Linked DNA regions of Danio rerio. The protein of the gene in region 1 binds, or shares a complex with, the protein of each later gene. Links are inferred from orthologs where the notes say so. Each region holds a gene or a part of one and is shown in the gene's direction. Other genes may lie near its edges.

Region 1 (4,050 bases):
TGTCAGAGGAAACCCAGGCGAACATGGAGAGGACATGTAAACCCCACACACAAATCCCAACTGGCTCAACTGGGACTCGAACCAAGAAGAAGCCACCCCTACCTTTAAACTGACTATTGTAATTGTATTGTAATTGACAAAACACATGTTTACCTGACAAGCAGTGATGGAAAGAGTACTGAACATCATACTCAAGCATAAGTACTGTTATTTGCCAAAATAATGCAGTGCAAGACACTTGTAAATGTATCTGTTTTCTAAATACCACTCGATGTGTGAGTAAAAGTAGCCTTTCTAAAAGTACTCAAGAAGAGTAGTGATTAGGCTATCGCATACTATGCTGTGATTAATAAATTATTTTACCTTACACCCTTCAAACTAAAAATGTAACTTTCGTTGGTGGCATTTTCTTTTAAGGGTGTTTCTACGTGTAAGTAGACAGTCATGGACTATACATTTAAAATGTCAGATTAATTTAATTTTAGAACACATTAAATGAATATATGCACCTATAATAAGTCAACAGATTGCAGCAAGTTGATGCATTTATATGTGGAGTGAAATCTGTGTAACCTAAGGGGCAAAATCTTGCTGTAATAAGCAAATAAAGGAATTTTTAACAGTGTAATTTTGAACACGGTATTGTGAGTTTAAATATAAGTTTGAAATACAAGCCAACACAAACTCAAAACAATAAAACCTGGTCTGGTTTCACAAACAGGGAGAAGATAAATGTTTTATTCCAAGGACAACACTTTTATTTATTTTACAAAATATTCTTGTATTAGATCACGTCCATGAAATATGTTTTTATTTTTTTTTAAATCCTTCTAAGTCTTTAGAGAAGGAGATTATACAACATTTTATTTGGATTAAAACAATAAGACTTGTATTATTAAGTCACAAAAACGCAATTTCCCGTTTTTTTTCTATTTCCTGTTGCTAGTTGTCAGTGGTGAAGGTTGACAGCAGCAGCCTCCCAGAATTCAAGGTTGCCAAATCAACCATCAGTAACCACCGACTAATTACTTATGTATAGTCGTAAATGCCTATTTCGGGGTTCAATCTCAACTCATATGACATAATTTATATCTATAAATGAACATTATCGATAAATCAACTATAAAAAACAACTAAAATATCGTTTTCCTAATTCACAATCTGATCTAAGTTATATGTGTTGGTTTAATAGGAAAGACTTGGCAACCTTCGGCCACAGCACAGAGGCAAATGCGGACTGCTTAGCTTGTGTGCTAGCAACATACATGTGGAGGGGATCACATCCCAAACTCTGCCCAAATTTCCCTTTAGACTGCCAAATACCGCCAACTGCCCCTGTATCCCTCACAACAAACGTGTTTTCTTCAACATGAAAGGGTGAGTAGACGACAGAGAAGGCTCTATTCCTCTCAAGTAAAGTTTTCCCCTCTCTATTCTCTTTTTTCCAGCAGGGGGGCAGTGGAGTTGCTCTAATGCTAGCTGTTAGCTCTCTGCGCGCTTAATGTGGAGAAGAGACATTTGCGCCGCGTTTTTACACCTAGTTTTACCTTAATCTTTTCCCAAAATCTCCAGAAAATAGCTTAAAAGTGCCTCATGTAATCTAGCACCAGATTAAATCTTATGCCAGTACAAACGGCACGAGTGAAGTCCGTGCCAAACTGGATCGTGTGTCGAATCTAAATCCGAAAATGTTGAGTCAGTCTTCAAGTTGCTATCTTGGTTAGCAAGCCAATCTGAAACCTCTCCCAAATGGGCGCCCAGATGGATCGTTACATTTAATAGCAGTGTATTAAAGCTTGTTGCTGTCATGTTGGGGTTAATGTGAGATTATTTTGATGTAAGAATTGAAATGTGACACACGTGATGGAGTGAGCTTAGCCGCATAGCATGTCCTCTTTGAAAATGACAGAACAAGTTCATACGGTCTTAAAACACTTTATGAAGGACGATTCTTTAACGTTTGATGGATGAAACGATGCATAAATATGTCTAATATGCTACGTTAAGCTCACTGTAGTGGTTTGCTGTGACCATGTGTGTAGAATAAAGAAAAGTCAGCGATATTTAAATTTTTATTCTAAATCCAATTCTGTTTTATATCATAAAATATTTCATATTTTAAAGTTTTGAATTCACATCTGTAAAAAAGTGGTACCCAGCCCTGTTCCTGGAAGGCCTCCAGCAGTACACATTTATCCGACACACCCATTAAGAGTCTCTGCTATGGAGCTGAAGGGAATCAGGTGTTTCACTAGAAAAAAACATACTAAATGTATTTTTAAGGGGCCCTTCATGAACAGAAGTGGTGCACCATTGCTTTAAAAGTCTGCAATATCATCTGAAACGTATTTACTCTCATCGCTTTACCAAGCATTGGTAAACTTTATTATCTAACTTGTTTTAATCAGTGGACTTTGATTTCAAGACCGTGTATAGTAGTATAGGCATTTGTTCTGTGATCATAAGTTCTGTAAACTCTATTTAGTGTGTATGTTTTTCTCCTGTCAACTCATGCTGGTTGTTCAGTGGCAGTGGTGAACATGTGACCAGCAGCTGTTGTTGGTGTTGGGCTTCAGTTTGCTGCCTCCCTATAAATACCTGCTTTTTGCACTGCTGGTTTACGGTGATCATAGTTATACAAGAAATGTGTAGTTTTGTGGGTGCACCTTTAGGGTATCTCTCTCTCACACACACCCACACACACGAAAGATAAATGAGGATGTGCTGATACTAAGTTATTATAGGGGTAGTTCACCCCCCCCACCCCCACCCCCCCCCCCACCCCCCCCCAAATACAATTTTCTCACCATTTATTCGATCTAAGGTGTTTCCAAACTTTTACAAATTTTTTTCTTCAGTTGAACACAAATGATGTCGGAAAAAAGAAACCAAATTTAAATTAATGGCTGTTTTTTTCCTATCATTTTTCAGTATATCTTCCTTTGTTCAACAGAAGAAACTCAAACAGGTTTGACATAAGTGGACTATGAGGAAACAATGACAAAGTTATAATTTTTAGGTGAACTATCGCTTAAATACAATACAAATTTTAATATAAAATAAATGAAATACTCTGTTGCATTCAACTATAGAAGTAATTTAAGTATTACACCATTAAATGTGATTAAATAGTGAAGATCATGTATACATTATTAATTTTACTGTTCCTGAAGTTCAATGAGCACAAATGACAATGATGTATAAATCTAATATTAGGTAAAAATGGATATCCATAGACGCTTTGTATGCAGCAGAATCAACTGATAACTGATATTGTACTAATATCTTGGGCTTTTCTAATAGTAAAGCTGTAATATTGTCATTTATGTGGACTGTTTGCTGACCTGACATGTAAAGAAAAGGACATTGTTTGTCAGTTCACAGCTAGTTGACCATTCTGCTTTTGTTCTAGTAGCCGGATCGAGTTGGGGGATGTTACACCCCACAACATTAAACAATTGAAGCGTCTGAATCAAGTGATCTTCCCTGTCAGCTACAACGACAAGTTCTACAAAGATGTTCTTGAAGTGGGAGAGCTTGCCAAGCTAGGTATGTAACAACGCTGATGCAAAACACTTACATTTGAATTCACTTCACTTCACAACAAAGCCGTAACTCAACTGTTCAGGACATAATAAGAACTGAAATATTTTGTGTAGTATTTTTTCGAATAAAAAAATTCTAAAGTCTATATATTGTCAAGACCAAATAAATTAAAATAAACTGAAGCTAGCAGTGAGTGTAAAAACAAAATACAAATATTTTATCCTTTACTGTCAAACAAAATGCGTGCAAGCTTTTCATTTTTTGATAGCTTTACATTAATGGCATTTTATAAGTCAGTTTGGAACATAAGTCACCGTAAATCTCAGATAATAATAAAAATATTGTAATTCTGTAAGTCTTTTTTTAGGGCCTTGTGATTAATCAAAATGAAATGGAGATTGCAATTCATCAAAGGCTGTGATTGTCATGCACATCCTGTCAGTGAAATTTGACTCTGTGATCACTAGTAATTCTCCTCAGAAGGCCAGAGGGTGCACATCTGCC
Region 2 (3,519 bases), on another chromosome or scaffold:
GCGATGAAGGGCTTGACGCTAAACTGCCTGGGGAAGAAAGAAGAAGCCTATGAACTAGTCCGCCGAGGGCTCCGAAATGACCTGAAGAGCCACGTCTGTATCCTTGGAGCTTGAGACCATTACACGCTTATGAATGCTTTCAGTTTGATATTTAAATGCATTAACCCATCAGTATTCAGAACAGAGTGTGGTAATGGTCCATGTGTTGGAATGAGTTTGTTTCCTCATGTTCACAGCACCAGAATTAACACTCGTCTCAGTTTGAAGCCTGTCGCTGGCGGTGGGATGCTGGATGTCCGCCAAGATTCCTGCCCTGTGTCTGACCATGATGCGCAGTGACACCATGAACTGTTTGGAGAGCTAAACACATAGTGCAGTGTTTCCTCGCTGACAGCCAAATGCTTCACATCCCAGAGGTTCATGTTAGACACAGAAAATTACCATTTTATAATAGAATAGGCCACTTCAGGACTTTAATATGTTGTTTTATTGGCTTTCTGTGTTTTCAGAATACCAAAAAATGAACAAGCAGACCCTGTACTTTCCATTGAGCCATCCAATGTTTAAAGATTTTAAACCTATTATAGTATTTCATAGGATTAGTAAATGGCAAAAAGAATAGTATTAAACAACAAACTATATGACATTAATCCTGTTCTGTGGGTAAAATTGGCATTTGTATTTTCAGTGATGATCACGGTTATGCCATATAAAAGCAGGGTTAAATGAGGTAGAATTGCAAGTTATTGATTTAGTTAAAGTTATTGATTTCACAATTTTATTAATCCTCTTCACAAGTCCAACATCTCACACATTTTGTGAAATTGTTCTAGTTCTTTTAAAGAGATTATATCACCATACACCATCATTTCCTTCTTTTGTTGAGTACAAAACAAGATATTCTGAAGAATGTTCTATTAAAAGCAGGAGTTGACATATAGTGTTTACAAAAATACTATTAAAGTCAACATTTTCCCAACAACCGTTATTTTGTTTGTTAGGGAAAAAACTTTAGTTTAATTAGAAAATGTAGCCAAGATACTGTCAGCTTAAACGGTATATTATATTTTTATGAATTTAGATGCCACTTTATTATTATATCAAACGTAAGCCAATTAAATTTGGCAACATATTATGACCCCCCCCCCTGCTTAGTGTGCAGGTTAAAAAAACAAAACATCTCAGACCTTGTGAATTTTCTCTGGGCTCAATTCTGGACTGACATCAGTCCTCTAGTGTTGAATTCTGTCCTTGCAATGTTTTTTGCTTTCCTTAACATGACATTTTCAGGTTGGCATGTGTATGGCCTGCTCCAAAGGTCTGACAAGAAGTACGACGAGGCTATTAAGTGTTACAGAAATGCACTGAAATGGGACAAAGACAACTTGCAGATCCTTCGAGATCTGTCTCTGCTGCAGATCCAGATGAGAGACCTGGAGGGTTACAGGGTGAGTGTGTGTGTGTTTCCTCACTACCTTTTTGTGTTTGTGTAATTGCATTTAGCTTTGCCAGCACAGAAAAAAAATGTTTTAAAAGTCTAGGAACTGAAATGATTTAATGTTGGGGTTAATAATAATAATAAGTTGTAAAATACACACAGCGTTGGTGGACATGAAAGACTTCTATCTAAAGCAGTGGTCCCCAACCACTGGGCTGCGGACCGGTACCGGTCCGTGGAACAATTGGTACCAGGCCACATAAGAAATAATAAATCATTTCTGTAGAAAATATTCCCCCCGCGACTTGGTTTCTTCCACTCACCCCCGCCATCTCACGTGAAATGGACTATGCCAAAATCCAACACGGAGCGCGAAGAATGATCGCTAGAATATATCTCAGGGGTTGTTGTAGATAGTTTAAAGTTATAAAACCGGTATTATAGAGTCCAAATCAGCAGACCATTTAAGGATTGTGCATATATGTGTGCGTGCATCTCTAAGTGAGTACCCGAAATCATTACAATATGTATCTATATGGAGTTTCACATAATCATTCTCATTAGGGCTGTAACATGCCAATGCATACATTTAATTCAGCTATACGATTGTATTATTGTTAATATGTTCGTCAGATGAAATGTTTGGCACAGATGTTATTTATTTGATGCATATAAATCTTGATTGTAACATAATTGCAACTAGCGCATGCGCACTGAATTGTTCATGATTAAACTGGATGCACCAGAGCAGCAGCTGTGTTTACGTGAAGACCCCCCCGGCCCACACCGGTCCGTTGTAAAATTGACAACCGTTGACCGGTCTGTGGTGATTAAAAGGTTGGGGACCACTGATCTAAAGCGTATACAATCTTACCAACCTTAAACTTTTGAACAGCAGTGCATTTTTTATTGTTGGACTATGTTTTACGTGCTTTAATATGCAACTATACTAAAGTATCAGGTTAATAGATTCATTGCATTAGAGAGCCCAGTTTTGCACAACGTAAAGGTAAAAAAAACAAATACAGGTCAAGTACAGGGCAGTGACTCAGCAATGTCCTTTTCCTGTCTTTTGTTTCTTTGTCTTGTACACTGTGATAAAGTTGCTGTTTAATGTTTCATGCCTTCCGGCGACTCTGATACCTGCTTCTACCACTGAAATGAAAACCTTTTAGATTTGAGCTTTGTGCAGTCTGGCTTCACTGTTTTCTGTAGTTTTAAACCCTACTTTAATGCATTGATTTGAAAGGGATCCTGTTTCTTCTCTGCATTCAGCAAAGCATAAACCTTTTTAATGGGAATGTCAGAGTGTCATTGTTTAAACTGTCTTGCAGGAGACGCGGTATCAGCTGCTGCAGTTGCGTCCTGCCCAGCGGGCGTCGTGGATTGGTTATGCCATCGCGTATCATCTCTTAGAAGACTATGAAATGGCTGCCAAAATCATTGAGGAGTTTAGAAAAACACAACAGGTAAATACAGGCAGAACTGGTCTATAAAGTAAGTCTGTAGTTATTTTTCATTGGCTGTCAAAATTAGGGTTGATGTCAACCAATTTAGCATCGTACGATGTCAAATGTAAAATATCACTATGGACGATGGCATCTTTGTCGTAGGCGGCGGTGAATTAATTATTTATGAATAATTAATTAGTTCATAACGAATTAAATATTTGTAGCCTATTGTTTGTAACTACCTGACACACAAATTACCTGTTACTAGTTACACACAAATTACCACCTGTCAATCACTTTTTTCTGCGAATGAGTAGGCAGAGTGATCTGTGTTTTAATGGTGCCGACAAACTTGGTTTATTAAAAAGGTCCCTTGATAAACTGTCTGACGTGCACTGCTCTGTGTTGTTTTGTGTTCAAAGCACCCTCTGACTGCCTGGAGCTCAGACGTGCTTATATGCTAGAGTGCTTGACAGTGTGTGTGTGTGTGTGTGTGTGTGTGTGGTCACATGATGGCCAATTTTTAGCTGTATAGTGTGGAAGGAGGGCTTTTCAGAAATGCTAGATGAAACGCCAGTGTGGACGTTTTTGTTATAAAATGCCATTTTAGAATGGCATTTCTTAATGTGT

The links.
Region 2: the proteins of naa50 (region 1) and naa15b are in contact, whole or in part, in a cryo-EM structure (PDB 6PPL), measured with the Homo sapiens proteins. The link is inferred for Danio rerio from reciprocal best matches to the Homo sapiens genes NAA50 and NAA15. Residues at the interface, in NP_079422.1 of Homo sapiens: Arg5, His14, Asn15, Lys17, Gln18, Arg21, Leu22, Val25, Phe51, Asn52, Ile54, Ala55, Leu80, Pro82, Tyr83, Leu86; in NP_476516.1 of Homo sapiens: Pro369, Pro370, Thr371, Leu374, Ser403, Thr404, Pro405, Thr406, Leu407, Ile408, Phe411, Glu433, Ala436, Leu437, Asp438, Thr439, Ala440.

What each region holds. Positions count from the first base shown.
Region 1 is NC_133199.1:25,053,966-25,058,015, forward strand, and holds the start of naa50 (N-alpha-acetyltransferase 50), read left to right. Parts: upstream 1-1,250; 5' UTR 1,251-1,369; coding exon 1,370-1,377; intron 1,378-3,412; coding exon of another isoform or gene 3,413-3,415; coding exon 3,416-3,549; intron 3,550-4,050. UniProt on the Homo sapiens protein: N-alpha-acetyltransferase that acetylates the N-terminus of proteins that retain their initiating methionine. Has a broad substrate specificity: able to acetylate the initiator methionine of most peptides, except for those with a proline in second position.
Region 2 is NC_133176.1:43,721,114-43,724,632, forward strand, and holds part of naa15b (N-alpha-acetyltransferase 15, NatA auxiliary subunit b), read left to right. Parts: coding exon 1-97; intron 98-1,290; coding exon 1,291-1,448; intron 1,449-2,772; coding exon 2,773-2,907; intron 2,908-3,519. UniProt on the Homo sapiens protein: Auxillary subunit of N-terminal acetyltransferase complexes which display alpha (N-terminal) acetyltransferase (NAT) activity. The NAT activity may be important for vascular, hematopoietic and neuronal growth and development.